Linked DNA regions of Oryctolagus cuniculus. The protein of the gene in region 1 interacts with the protein of each later gene in a biochemical or structural test. Links are inferred from orthologs where the notes say so. Each region holds a gene or a part of one and is shown on either strand. Other genes may lie near its edges.

The links. The genes of interacting proteins can lie anywhere in the genome.
Region 2: the proteins of TNKS (region 1) and AXIN1 form a complex in vitro, tested with the Homo sapiens proteins (2 studies listed by BioGRID). The link is inferred for Oryctolagus cuniculus from reciprocal best matches to the Homo sapiens genes TNKS and AXIN1.
Region 3: the proteins of TNKS (region 1) and RNF146 form a complex in vitro, tested with the Homo sapiens proteins (3 studies listed by BioGRID and IntAct, with this or other methods). The link is inferred for Oryctolagus cuniculus from reciprocal best matches to the Homo sapiens genes TNKS and RNF146.
Region 4: the proteins of TNKS (region 1) and TNKS1BP1 form a complex in vitro, tested with the Homo sapiens proteins (2 studies listed by BioGRID). The link is inferred for Oryctolagus cuniculus from reciprocal best matches to the Homo sapiens genes TNKS and TNKS1BP1.

The regions. Positions count from the first base shown.
Region 1 is NC_091433.1:79,202,678-79,206,935, forward strand, and holds the start of TNKS (poly [ADP-ribose] polymerase tankyrase-1), read left to right. Parts: upstream 1-1,458; 5' UTR 1,459-1,557; coding exon 1,558-2,230; intron 2,231-4,258.
Region 2 is NC_091450.1:34,321,523-34,325,022, reverse strand, and holds part of AXIN1 (axin-1), read right to left. Parts: intron 1,833-3,500; coding exon 1,692-1,832; intron 1-1,691. UniProt on the Homo sapiens protein: Component of the beta-catenin destruction complex required for regulating CTNNB1 levels through phosphorylation and ubiquitination, and modulating Wnt-signaling.
Region 3 is NC_091436.1:42,353,579-42,357,078, reverse strand, and holds part of RNF146 (E3 ubiquitin-protein ligase RNF146), read left to right. Parts: intron 1-2,641; coding exon 2,642-3,500. UniProt on the Homo sapiens protein: E3 ubiquitin-protein ligase that specifically binds poly-ADP-ribosylated (PARsylated) proteins and mediates their ubiquitination and subsequent degradation. May regulate many important biological processes, such as cell survival and DNA damage response.
Region 4 is NC_091432.1:14,805,518-14,809,017, reverse strand, and holds part of TNKS1BP1 (182 kDa tankyrase-1-binding protein), read right to left. Parts: intron 1,998-3,500; coding exon 627-1,997; intron 1-626.

The sequences.
Region 1 (4,258 bases):
ATTAATATTACACTAATTATATTTAACAATGGACACATGAAATAACTATTTTTCTCCTGGTTTAATATTCTGCTTGATCTATCTGAACTTTGCTTTTTTTCTTAGGACATGGACTTCCCATCTGTGCCCACTCTACTGGAATAATGCAGTTTGTGTCTACTTCCACGATCCCTGCTTCACCACGGAACAAGCAGTGTGAGATGGAGATCTCCAGGAGGCTATCCCATTCATGGGTACGTCTCTTTTGATGGCCAATGGAAAAAGTAGGTATAGGCAGGAGAATGAAAACATAGTTACCGAAAAGTTGCATTTATGAAGGTGTGTGAGGGACAGCGGTCAGGTTTTCATCTTAGTTTGAGGGGGAGAGAGGGGTGGGGTGAGAGTAATGGAAGGGAAGAGAGGCCAAGCTAAAAAATAACTTTCATAAATAGTCAAATTTGCTGTAGGAAATAAAAGTACAGAGGTAATAGAAGAGGAAAAATCATAATTTTAATACTTAGCACTTATGGAATTATTGTTATTCCGATTTTACAGAGGGGGCACTGCAAGACGGAGTGCTTGGTTGTTTAGAGTCTGCCCGAATTTACACCGTTAGTAAATGCCAGAGCTTGAATTCCGGTCCTGGCAATCTGAACCACCAGTTAAAAATGTTAGGTTAACAAAGTACACACATAGAGTGGGAAAACTTGTAGGGGTCAGGCCAGTCCTGCGGCATAGCAGGTAAAGCTGCCACCTGCAGTGCCGGCATCCCATACGGGCGTGGGTTAGAGTCCCTGCTGCTCCACTTCCCATCCAGCTTTCTGCTATGGCAGATGGCCCAAGTCCTTGGGCCCCTGCACCCTTGTGGGAGACCTGGAAGAAGCTCCTGGCTCCTGGCTTCGGATCAGCCCAACTCCAGGTCTTGCAGCCATTTAGGCTGTGAACCAATGGATGGAGGACCTTTCTGTCTGTCTGTAACTCTCCCTCTCAAATAAATAAATCAATCTTAAACAAAAACAAAAACAACCTTGTAGGGAAGGAACAAGAGACCAAGGGAATAACTGGGGAAGAAAGACCGCTTTAAAAAATTACCAGTGGGCTGATGACAGCTACATATTACTGACAATCGGAGCATTTTGTCTATATCAGCTCATTTAATCCTGCAGGCGATTCTGTGAGGTGGGACCTGATGATGAAAAACATTCTCTGCTTGCACCGAATTGCGCCTCAGTTGCTGACTCTGGAGCAACACAAGGAAGGCTCTAGGAGACTAGGGCACGGAACTGAGCAAGGCAAGGCAAGCAGGCGGAAGGTGGGAAATGCAGGGAGAACCTGGTTCCAGCGTTCAAATCTCTTCGCCGGCCCGCCGGGTCGTCACAAAGCCCGCCCCTCAGTCACGAAGCCACGCCCTCCGCCTCCGAAGTTCTCAGAGCTCCCAATACTTCCCTCTTTCTCTTTGACCCGCCCACCCCGCCAAGCATCAGTTCCTGTGCGCTGACTGCTGATTGGCCCAGAGGTCGGAAGTGAGGGCGGGCGGTGGGGCCGTTGCCGCAGTGACAGAGCTGGGGGTGTCCGAAGATGGCGGCGTCGCGTCGCTCTCAGCATCATCACCACCATCATCAACAACAGCTCCAGCCCGCCCCAGGGGCTTCGGCGCCGCCGCCGCCACCTCCCCCACCTCTCAGTCCCGGCCTGGCCCCAGCGACCACCCCAGCCTCCCCAACGGCCGGTGGCCTGGCCCCCTTCGCTTCCCCGCGGCACGGCCTAGCGCTGCCGGAGGGGGATGGAAGTCGGGATCCGCCCGACAGGCCCCAATCCCCGGACCCACTTGACAGTACCAGCTGTTGCAGCACCACCAGCACAATCTGTACCGTCGCCGCTGCGGCCGCGGTCCCGGCGGCTTCTGCTTCGTCTGCCGTCGGGGTCGCTCCCAATCCAGCCGGCGGTGGCAGTAACAATTCACCGTCGTCCTCTTCTTCCCCGACGTATTCCTCCTCTTCCTCTCCTTCCTCCCCTGGATCGAGCTTGGCGGAGAGCCCCGAGGCAGCCGGAGTTAGCAACACAGCGACACTGGGACCTGGGGCAGCGGGACCTGGGACAGGGGTCCCAGCAGTGAGTGGGGCCCTACGGGAACTGCTGGAGGCCTGTCGCAATGGGGACGTGTCCAGGGTAAAGAGGCTGGTGGACGCGGCAAACGTCAATGCAAAGGACATGGCCGGCCGGAAGTCTTCTCCCCTGCACTTCGCTGCAGGTCAGACTTTTGAATTACTTATTAATGGTACCGGGGTCAGGGCCGGGGGTCCGGCTATGAAAAAACAGGTAATTATGATGGGGCGAAGTGGGGGCGTGGCCACGGCCGGTCCACTCTTCGCCGGAAGACCAGAGGTTCCTTTCTTTAGGGAGCGCCTGGGTGCCAGGGGTGTGGGAGGGGAGGTGTGAGTCCGTTCTTTACTGTTTGCAAACTGATACCTCTAACGAGACTCCCTGTAGTCGCAGGCGCGGGATAGTTGGAAGTACTTAAACTTTTTCGTTCCGAGTGTACAGGAATAAAGTTAAGATTTGGGCGGCTTTGGAGTCGCTTTGTCGTCGCTGTGGCCAGTTTGTTTTCAGAATAAGGGTCTGTCCCTTGAGGACGGTCTAGATCGGAAGAAGTTTAATGTAACTCCGCAGGCGTTTACAGATTTTTCCTGTTGATCTTCGTAAAATACATTAATAAAAGACATAACCGAAGTTTTGGCACCTCCCTCTTTTGAAGAAGTTTGCTGTACAGTTGAGACCAGAATATGCCTGCATGAAACAACTGGGAGAAAAATATTTGGATGCATTATGTGACAATGGAAGAAATACAGGCTTTGAAGTTTTGTTATTTGTCTAGCAGGCCGTTTACCTTAAATCTCATGGGCAAAAACAGATTAAGGTTATTTGAAGATCTAGTAAGGAGTATGCGGCATATGACATCTAGGAAAAAAGTGGGAACTCCTAACTCTGGGTACTGCACTTTATCTGCCTCTCCCTCCCTCTCTCCCTCCCTTCCTTCGTCCTCCTTCTTCTCTCTCTCTCTCTTGTTTAGCAAGTTGTTGATTATTTTCTTTTAAAAACACTTAATATATTTTTATAAATTACAGGGACATATAGAACAAAGACAAAAAATTAAACATCAGAAATATTACACTGAAATTATACACCTTAAAAACACATTACAAAATCCAAGTAGGACAGAAAGATATACAATGAAAAACACCACCCCCACACAGAAACATCAAAGCTAACACACCAAAGATACCCTCTGTTAAGTTTCTTGCTACATTTCTGATATAAGTCACTCCTTCAATTTGTTCTGTTAATAGTAAACATGTAAAGATCTCACTGTATTATTCATTCTTACCACAATTTGGGAAATAATATTATCCTCATTTTACAGGTATTAAACATGTAGCACATCTTGTTTAAATTTGCATTCACTCAGGAGGTGGTTGAACCTTAAGTTCAAGCACTTGGGTTCTAGAACTTGTGAAATCAAGCTTTAATGAGCATACACTGTCCCTGATTTAAAGTCACTTTTCATTTTGTGAGTAATTATAGTGCAGGTTTTCTGATTTTCGTGATCTATTAGGAAGAGAAGTAATAGTGAGCTTACATGTAAGAGTAACTTTCACTATTTTTTTAAATTGCAGTCCATACTTAGAAATACACACAAAGTTTCATGAAACTGTACTTCCCCTTACTACATGTGCTATGCTCTGATATTTTACGTTGTATTCTATTTCATTTCATTTTTAGCAACTACTGCTTGTGATCCATTAGGTGGGTCCTGACCAGTGGTGTGGGAAATACAGGAAATCGTTATTAGATCACGATCCATTCTTCATACATCGACACTGCTCTCAGGAGTGCAGTGAAGCGAATCATAAACAGGCTTGCATCCAACTAGGTACTCCTTCGAGGGTCTTGCTTGTTTTAAATGAGATACCATTGCTCTGTCTTCACGCTAAATGAAAGCTCCATCTGATTTAAAAAGTCAACCCAGATTTGTTCTTTCCCATACTTTATTCCAAATCTGATTATTTTAACATTGCTTCACAAATTTTAGCATTTCTAATTTTACTTCCATTTGACTTCCTTATAAGTAATCACTAACAAATGTAATTAGTTTTATTTATTTGTATATTAGTATATTTAGGATTAAAACTTAGGGCTAGTCACACTTAAAATAGAGCTCGTCTTCCAAATCGTCTTCTGTCTGCAATGAGTTACTTTTAATTTTGTTCTAGAGTTTTAC
Region 2 (3,500 bases), on another chromosome or scaffold:
TCCTGCTCCCAAATTTGGCCTTGATCATCGTGGGCATTTGGGGAGTGAACCAGCCCACAGGGGCTCTCCGTCTCTCTCCACTCTCAAATAAAGAGAACAAACAAACACACACCTCAAAAACACATTCACCAAAAGATGAAGTGGGATCCTTCAGCAGGGAAGAAGCCCTGCCCCGTCTCCCTCAAATCTTTCTGACTCCAACATCGAACACAAGAATTAAGTGGGGCAGGGGAGGCGTCCCGATGACCACACAGCCCGTGGGTGCGGCCAGGAGCCCCGGTGGGCAGGCCTGAGTGGTTCCAAGTGAAGCCACCAAGATGGTGGCCGCAACTCACACCACATCAGCAGCCACGGCCAAAGGCTTCTTGTGACCCTGGAGGGGAACCTGGGGGCCCTGGCTCAGTCCCAGCCCTGGCAAGCTGAGCAGGCTCACAGCTCCTGGGTGACCACGACCCACCTGACCCCACCAGGACAGACAGTGGCCCCGCAGCCCGAGCCCACCTGACCCCACCAGGACAGACAGTGGCCCCGCAGCCCGAGCCCACGTGACTCCACGTGACCCCACCAGGACAGACAGCGGCCCTGCAGCCCGAGCCCACCTGACCCCACCAGGACAGACAGCAGCCCCGCAGCCCGAGCCCACCTGACCCCACCAGCACAGACAGTGGCCCCACAGCCCAAGCCCACGTGACCCCACCAGGACAGACAGCGGCCCCGCAGCCCGAGCCCACCTGACCCCACCAGGACAGACAGCGGCCCCACAGCCCGAGCCCACCTGACCCCACCAGGACAGACAGCAGCCCCGCAGCCCGAGCCCACCTGACCCCACCAGCACAGACAGTGGCCCTGCAGCCCGAGCCCACCTGACCCCACCAGGACAGACAGCGGCCCCACAGCCCGAGCCCACCTGACCCCACCAGGACAGACAGTGGCCCCGCAGCCCGAGCCCACCTGACCCCACCAGGACAGACAGCGGCCCCGCAGCCCGAGCATTTACACTGTCCCGTCTGCACGCACAGAAGACCAGGGCACGAGACAATCACACCTGTGAAGGGGGCTCCCGGAAGCGTAAGCTCACTCTCGTCATCACAGCAGCAGGGGACCTGCACGCACCAGGCTTCCCTGAGCCCTGGAGGCACCAGGCTTCCCTGAGCCCTGCACGCACCAGGCTTCCCTGAGCCCTGCACGCACCAGGCTTCCCTGAGCCCTGGAGGCACCAGGCTTCCCTGAGCCCTGCACGCACCAGGCTTCCCTGAGCCCTGCACGCACCTGGCCCGGCACAGCACAGCTGTTCCGTCTGTTCTCTGCCCTGCCCCAGCTGTTCGCCTGACATGAGCCAGTGCAGAACAGGTTGCCAGCACAGGTGACGGCAGCAAGGAGCCTTGCAGGGAGCGCCTCTCCGTCACCGCCACCTGGTGGGCAGTGGCCCTTCTCATCACCAACCTGAACCTGTGCTGGGTCTGCACGGCTCTGCAGTGTGTCTACCGCAGGCTCGGCTCTAGCCTGGGTCAGGGTTTCAGGGGCCCATTGAACACGCAGTTGTCTGCATCCCCAGTGCACCAAATTCTGAGGGACCCAGGGAACTTCTGCCGTGAATCCAGGCCAAGGCAGTGCTGTGGGAGGCACCAGAGGTGAGGCAAGCCCTCGTGCTGAGCGGGCCGCACTTTCTCCCCAGGAAGGGCACGACTTACACGCTGCTGTCTGTGAGGGACAGGGTGTCGGCGTCGCTGGACAGGCTCTGCTGCTCGCTGTCATTGGCACTGGTAGCTGGGGCCAGGGCGTAGCCAGAGTTGACGTAGTAGGGGTTGACAGGCTCCCGCCAGGACCCGTATCTGCAAACAGGAAGTCATGTGAGTGGCAATGCCTCTTAAGCTAATCCACTTTCAGACTCGTCTGCATGTTTTAATACATGAGCTAAAATGCAAGCAACTCAGAAAAAGGAGCAGCGAAAGCCAAGATCACCATTGCTCCTCCCTCACCCGGCCCTTCCCGGAGGGGCGGGCACCTCTCCAGGTCTTTCCTCAGCTTTCAGCCAGATGTCCAAGTGCAGGTTCACAGTCGTCTGGGCTGGGGACACAGTTCTGCCCCTGGAGGTGGTCCGTGAGCCCTGCTGCTGGCTGCCACCTGGGACCAGACTCCTGGCCAGCACTCCGGGCAGCACACACAGGGATCAGTGAGGCCGGAGCCAGGCGCCAGCTGGGCCCCACCCACCCACCCTTACGCTGGCGCACACTCCCCGGAGGGCTCCGTAACTCTCGCTGTCGCACGAGCAGCTGGGAAGTGCACTCTTAACCCTAATTCTGATCAGCAGGTAGAGTCAGTTCTTCCTCTTTACCTGTTCACACCACTTGTCCGTTTTCTTTTCTGTTTCTTATTAGCTCCCATCTAATGATTCACTGCCTACATGCCTGCAAACAGCTGGGGCTAGACCAGCCTGAAGCCAGGAGCCCAGAACCCCACCCCAGTCTCCCACGTGGGGGCAGGGCCCCAATTACTTAAGCCACCACGGCTGCCCCGCAGGGTGCACGTTAGCAAGAATCTGAGTCAGGAGGGGACACAAGCACCCTAACTGTGAGGGCAAACGCCTTTCTTTCCTGTCCATTTCCTGCTGGGTGGTTCAGGGGTCCTGGAGACTGATTTAAGTATTTAAATGTTCTTATTACTGAGGCCAGTGCTGTGGCGTAGTGGGTAAAGCCACCGCATCCCATCCAGGCACTGGTTCGAATCCTGGCTGCTCCATTTCTGATCCAGCTCTCTGCTGTGGCCTGGGAAAGCAGTAGAAGATGGCCCAAGTCCTTGGGCCCCTGCACCCACATGGGAGACCGGAAGAAGCTCCTGGCTCCTGGCTTTGGACTGGTGCGGCTCCAGCCGTGGCAGCCACTGGGGAGTGAACGAGCAGAGGGAAGACCTCTCTCTCTGCACCTCTCCTTTTCTCTGTGTAACTCTTTCAAATAAATAAATATTTTTATTAGTAATTTCTGGTTATTTATTCAAAAAGCATTTTCTCCCTTAATGTTACCTTTCTTTTTGTTTATGTTGATTTTGGATACACGAAAATCAGATTTCCCAATCATTCTTGTGCAGGCGCCCAAGGACCTGGGCCATCCTCCACTGCTTTCCCAGGCCACAGCAGAGAGCTGGATCGAAGAGGAGCAGCCGGGACTCGAACCGGCACCCATATGGGTTACTGGTGCTTCAGGCCAGGGCTTTAACCCGCTGCGCCACAGCGCCAGCCCCAACATGTCCCATCTTTCCTTTCCTTTCTTTTTTCTTTGAAAGGCAGAACAGGGACTGGTGTTGTGGCACATTGGGTCAGGCTGTGTCTGCCATGCTAGCATGCCATACGAGCACTGGTTCAAGTCCCAGCTGCTCCATTTCCAATCTAGCTTCTTGCTAACGTGCTTGAGACAAGCAGCGGAAGATGGCCCAAGTGCACAGGCCCCTACCATCCCCGTGGGAGACCTGGATGGAGCTCCTGGCTCCTGGTTCCAGCCTAGGCC
Region 3 (3,500 bases), on another chromosome or scaffold:
ATTTTAAGCATCAGTTAGTGGTTTTGAATCTCTGATATCTTTACTTCCATTAATCAGTCTTATTTGTCTCTGGGCTACACCCTGTGTCATTTTTTCCTGTTTTAAAATAGCTATTGTTTCCTGTAACTATGTGATAAAAGTCAAGCCACATATTTCTTTAGCAGGGCACAATAAGGCTTTTATGATTCGGCCTCTGATTTACAGCTTCATCTCCTGCTATCCTCTTGTTTATGTGGCTCAGTGCTTTGCACATGTCTCTGAAGTCTCCACTTCCAAAGCCTCTCAGCATCGCAAACATTGTCATCTCTTTTGTTATGATACATTTTGATTACTGCAGGAATATTGTGCATATTATGATTGTTTGCATGTATATTTCCTTAATAGACCAAGTGCGTGGCTGATTGATTTTTAGAGCCATCGAATACTCGTATTGTGTATGAACTATGGTAGGGATCTGATTTGATAAAGTAGAAATTCCAAATTTTATGTCAGTGTGTTTAATCAATACTTAATTTGACAAATCGTGCTTTTCTTTCTTTTTCCCTCTTCTTCAGGGCACCTTTGATATTCATGTCATTTTCTCCCCTGGTCTTCTATAGATTGTAATCTTTTGGAGCTTTAGTGAGTTAAACTTTGTAAATTCTGGTTGGCAGGTAAGGAAGTTTAAAGGTTTAAAGGTTTAACTGAGTCCCAAAGAGCACATAATTAACAAAGAAGATTAAGACACAGGTTTTTAGTTTTCTTGTCTAGTGTTGATTTCACAGTGTAGCAGCTTCCTTAATTCAAGTTACCCTTTCTCTCATGGCTGACTACAGCTTCTCATTATATAGTATTTCAGTGTGCTGCTTCAGGGCTGATCTGTAAGTCCACTGGCAGAATTTTTATATATTCCCAAAGTATATATAAGTAAATGCTTATATCAGGTGGTTTCACTTAATATTATTTAAAGTAAAATAAAAATACCAATTTTATGATACCATGATGTGTTCATGTTATTGTTTGAAAAAAAAACATTTTTTTAAAGCAAATATTTGAATGTTCTCTATCTGCCAGATCCCGTATGCAAATAGAGCAGTGAGCCAAAAATGACCTGTTCCTGCCCTTACAAAGCACACCAGCTTGTGGGGAAGACTGACATTAACAAAATAACCACACAAATAAATGTAACATTGCAGTTCTGATAAGGAATGAGGAGTGCATGGTAGTAACGAATTAGTAGCATGATCTGACTTCCTCATGGAGGCTTTCTCAAAGGGATCGGAGATGGGTAGTAGCTTATGAAAGGCAGGAGATGAGGAGGGACTGTTTATATAGAGAAAACCTATGATTGGTAGGAAGTAGTCAGTGTGCTTAGAAGTCTAATGGATGTTTGATAGGAGATGGAGGTTGCAATGGGAGGTGGGGCCCAGATCATGGGGAATCTATAGAGCCCTGTTAGAGACTGGTCTGTATCCTAAAATCAAATTTTTAAGCAACAGATATGGCTGTACCAATTAAACAGTGTATGCAGTAATTCAGTAAACAATGCTTGGTAGCCAGGGAAAGGTGATGAATAGTAGATGGATTCAGGAGATACAACTGATAGGACTTGCTGATGTTTTGTGTAGGGAGGGATAGGAGAAGGGCAGTTTCTAGGTTGGGTTTTTGGGTAGCATAAGCTTTATGGATAGTGGTATTACCATGGGATTTTTATTGAGCAAAAAAGAAGGAACAGATGATTACAGTTTTTGTAAGATCTAATATAGGTAATTGAAAATACAGATTTATGACTGAAAGGAGAGGTCTGGGCAAGTGATAGCAATGTGTGTGTGATTTCCACCTTGGCAATAGCTGATCCATGAGTACAGATGAGATCATCTCAAAGAGTACATTGATAACACATGCTTTAGAAAACAGACAAACGCAACCCCCCAACTCTCCATTTCAGAGAGAGGAGCTGGTCAAAAGTATGGCAGAAATGACTGGTTCAAGCAATAGTTTTAGATACATGCAGGGGCAGGGAATGTCTAAGGCTTTCATCTAAATTTCATATTTATCTGCTTGTTTAATACCCCAGATATATAAATATATGGCAAAATTTATAAAATAGCCACACTAATATCCTGTCTCCAGAATTGGTTTTTGCAGTTGTACTCTGAATTTGCTGTTTTGTTTGTCTAACTACCTTTCAGATTGACTGTAAAGTCAATTTAGGACAGATTGTTTATATTTCTAAATCTTTGCATTTAGTTCTGATGTATTCTGTGTCCAGATGGAAATAGTGTATTTAAAATCTGTGCTCTAGACATATATATATGTATATATATGTGTGTGTGTGTATATATATATATATATATATATATCATATATACAGGGATGTGTGTGTGTGTGTGTGTGTATATATATATATATATATATATATAAAATGGGATTGTTTCAGTTTGGTTTAACATTTATGTACCTCATTGTCCCCTGCAGTTAAAACTGATAGCAAAAATCAAAAAGATTTTGTATATAAATGGAGTTTTCTTCTTATTTTCATCTTTGTATCCCCATTGTTTAGTATGTGGCTTGCATATAATGTATGCTTAATAAGTGCTTTCTGGAAAGTGCTTTAGGAAAGTTTAAACACAATTACATTTTTTTTTTCTCATTTTCTTAGGATGGCTGGCTGTGGTGAAATTGATCACTCAATAAACATGCTTCCTACGAACAAGAAAGCAAATGAGTCCTGTTCTAATACCGCACCTTCTCTCACCGTCCCTGAATGTGCCATTTGTCTTCAAACTTGTGTTCACCCAGTCAGTCTGCCCTGTAAACATGTTTTCTGCTATCTGTGTGTAAAGGGAGCTTCATGGCTTGGAAAACGATGTGCTCTTTGTCGACAAGAAATTCCTGAGGATTTCCTTGACAAGCCAACTTTGTTGTCACCAGAGGAACTCAAGGCAGCAAGTAGAGGAAATGGTGAATATGCATGGTATTATGAAGGAAGAAATGGGTGGTGGCAGTATGATGAGCGTACTAGTAGAGAGCTGGAAGATGCTTTTTCCAAAGGTAAAAAGAACACTGAAATGTTAATTGCTGGGTTTCTGTATGTTGCTGATCTTGAAAATATGGTTCAATATAGGAGAAATGAACATGGACGTCGTAGGAAGATTAAGCGAGATATAATAGATATACCAAAGAAGGGAGTAGCTGGACTTAGGCTGGACTGTGACACTAGTGCCGTAAACCTAGCACGAGAGAGCTCTGCCGATGGAGCGGACAGCGTATCAGCACAGAGCGGAGCTTCTGTTCAGCCTCCAGTGGCGTCTTCTGTAAGGCCTCTAACATCAGTAGATGGGCAGTTAACAAGCCCTGCAACACCATCTCCTGATGCAAGCACCTCTTTGGAAGACTCTTTTGCTCATTTACAGCTCAGTGGAGACAACATAGCTGAAAGGAGTCACAGAGGGGAAGGCGAAGAAGATCATGAATCACCGTCTTCAGGCAGGGTACCGGACACCTCCATTGAGGAAACT
Region 4 (3,500 bases), on another chromosome or scaffold:
GGCTTCGGCTGCCAGTCTACACAGCAGGCCTTAAGATCAATAATAGTAACATCAATGAATACTTACTAAAGCACTTATGATGAGCCCAGCGGGATCCTCAGTACTTCATACATCATAACTCTTTTCACCCTCACCATCACCCTCTGAGCCACAACTCACCTGCTATCCCCATTTTACAGATGCGGAAACTGAGGCAGAGGGCAAAAAAGCAACCTAGTCAAGGTACTGGACAAAGAAATAGCAGAGCCAAGTGACAAAGCTATACCATCAGGTTCCAGAGCCCACACTCAGAATGGCTACGCTGTCTGGCCTTGCAGAACATTCCTGGTAATGATGGAAGGGACACTTAGGCCATGCATTGTACCAAGCGCCCTTCCCATCTCATGTGACCTGCAGTACAAGTCTCAGGGGCAAACGCTACTGTCATGAACAGACTCTGAAGCTTGGAGGTTAAGGTACACTCCCAAGACTGCTGGCATCAGGACTTGCACTCACTCTAAATCCTACACACAGTCTTGTACAACTCTGCCAGCTTCACCACATCACAGGGCTAAGGGTGCAGGTCCAGAGCTGCCCCGCTCCCAACTCTATCCCAAGGCCCCACCTCCCCATGCCCCTGCCCTCACCTCAGAGCGGGTACTCTGTGACTGGACATCCTTTGGCTCCGCTCCAGCTCCCCGCCTCGTGCTGCCGGCACTGGGTGGTGGGGAAGCCAGGAGGTCATCTAGCCAGCGAGAGCCGCCTTCAGGACCTGTGGGCTCCGGCGACACTCGACAGGGGTCTGGTGCCTCTGTCCTGGGTTGCGTGGTCTCAGCCCGGGCCAAGCTCAGGGTCTCCTCCTCGGCAGGCATCGCATGCCCAGGGTCAGGGACATCAGCAAAGAGGACACAGGGCTGGTCAGGGGGTGCTGACTGCTGCTGCCCCAGGACCGGCTCCAGCACGGGCAGGGCTTCCTCTCTGGTGGCCAGGGGGAGGGGGCACTCCTGTCCAGCCACAGGCTCCCGCTCCTCATAGCGCTCCTCTGCCTGCAGCAAGGGTGATTCAGGGGAGCCCCTGCTTGGGGGTAGGGGCTCCGGGGGAGCAGCTGGGGACTGAGGGTGACTCTCCCCATCGCCCTTTGGAGGTGGGGAGATGCCTGGATCCTCCCCCTGAACCCAGGAACTAGGCCTTCCCGAGCCCCCTGGAGCTGACCCGGCCCCTGGACCCTGTTGGGTTGCCCCTGCCTCCCTGCTGGGTGCAGCCCAGGTGCCAGCCTCTGCAGCCTCAGCGGCCTCACTGGCTTCGGTGATCGGGGAGGGGGGTGGGGAGTCCAGCCGCCACACCCCCAGGCCCGAGGGCCGTGTGGGGAATGTCCACTCAAAGGACTGCGACAGGCTCCAGTTGGACTCTGTCCCACTCCCAAAGGGACGATCCAGAGCCGACTGGCTCCCCTGGCCTTGGGGCAGGGCAGCCAGCGAGCCCCCCAGCTTCTCCTGGTCCTGGCCGCCACCGGATGGCCGGAGCACCCCCTCAGAGAATCTGCGCTGGGCTAGGCTAACAGGGCGGGGGTCTGGGTCAGCCCTGGCCGCTACCTCCTCCCCACACGGGAAAGTCCGAGTGATATCCACCAACTCACTCCCCTCAACAGGGGGCTGGAGCGAGATGGGTGGGGGCTGTTCCACTCCGTGGCACCCTGAGACACCCTCAAGGGGAGGGCTGCTGGGTGCAGGGGCCTCTGGGACATGCTCATTAGGGAGTCCCGGGCTAGGGCCATGCCAGGGGCCCTCATTAGGGAGGGCTGCCCTCGGGGAGGCCGGGGTTGCAGGGAGGCAGGGGGAAGCGTGGGGAGCTGCAGGACTCTGGGCTTCTGGCAGCAGAGCATGGCAGGGGGAGCCCTCGTTGTGGGGAGGAAGGCGAGGAGACCCGGGGGCAGAGGCTGGGGAAGAGAGGTCCAGGCTGGCAGAGCCTCCGGGCTCTGATGCAGGGCCTGGACTTGAGGGATCCCAGGGCTTGGAAACCTGCAAGAGAAAGGTCAAGAGCCATCATTCCCCTCTCCGCTGGGTCGGGGAGGCCCCTCCAACCCCATAGAAACCCCAGGCCAGCTCCTCCCTGGGCCTCTCACTCCCCAGATGGGAGGAGGAAACTAGAGCTCAGGATAGTGGGAAGAGACCCTGGAGCTGGCCCAGGGAGGGCTTCGCAAACTTCCTGGGGTCCTGGAGCCATCCTGTGGGTCTTGTCCCAGGAAGGGCTCCTGGCTCTGTTCACTGAGGGTCACTGACACTATTTCAGGAGGCTGGAGCCACCCCTCGCCCACCCAACCCAAAGTGCATCTAAGGATCCCCTAGCAGGCCATGGTAACGGGTCAAGAACACTTGCTTTATAAAAGCAAAAAGGGGAACCGGGACTCTGACCATCTGGGCGTGCAGGAGTGGGAGGACCGGAAGCCCAGCACAGCTCCAGGGAAGCACCCAGGAGTAGTGACTCCCCCAACTCCCCCCGACTCCCCCTGTGCGTCCCTAGGACCCAGTGCTGCCCAAGCAAAGGAGGAAGGCCATGGACTTGGCAAAGGGAGCTGGGGAGCCAGGGAAAGTGCCCAGCATGGCGCCACCCAGCACTGCTCCTATAAGCTGTAAGCCCTCGCTCTGGATGGCGACCACTGGTCTCTTGAGCCTGCAGCAGCCTCCCTGTCTGTACCACGGGGCTGATAACAACAACATCCACGCGACCTGGACAGGCCAGGACTGTGTCAGATTCACGCACACAGCCCTTGGGGTATACAGAGGACAACAGCTGCTGCGGAAGGAAGACACTGGCGGGAGGAAGGCAGCAGAGGGGGTCCCAAGGCCTGGCACGTTTCACTCCTCTGCTCTGCCAGTCCCCAGACAATGAAGTGAGTCTGGCTCCCTCTGACCTTTGCCCTCCCCAGAGGTCAAGCTCCCCTGGCTTCTGTCTCTGATGCATTTTTTTTTCTGCACCAGCGCCTCCTAGGCCTGGACAGAGACAAAGGTCTGACTTGCTTCTCAAGGCCCCTCCTGTTCCTGCCACCCTCCCTCTTCTCTACAATATTCTAGTTCCAAAGCTGACGGCCTTAAACTGCACCCACAGCCCTTTCCCGCTGCAGCCCCCTCCACCCTCCTCTTCCTCCAGTGTTGCTGCTTTAATCCACAGCCAGAGTCAAACCTTCCAACATCCTGGCTCCCTGTGCTCTGACCTCCTCTTCCTCAGTCCCCAGTGATTCTGGGGCCTTCCTCCTCCAAGGCCACAGACCTCGTCCTTACCAATATCTGCAGCCCCTCCACAATGCCACCTTTGTGGGTCCTGCTCACCTGTCCCTACTCCTCTCTGTTCCGCTCACTCTTGTTTGCTTTTGTTTTAAAGATGTATTTATTTGCCTGAAAGGGTGGCAGAGAGAGGCAGATACAGAGATGGATCTTCCCTCTTCCAGTTTACTCCCCACATCATGGCCAAAAGCCAGGTCTGAGCCAGGCTGAAGCCAGGAGCCAGGGACTCCAATTGGGTCT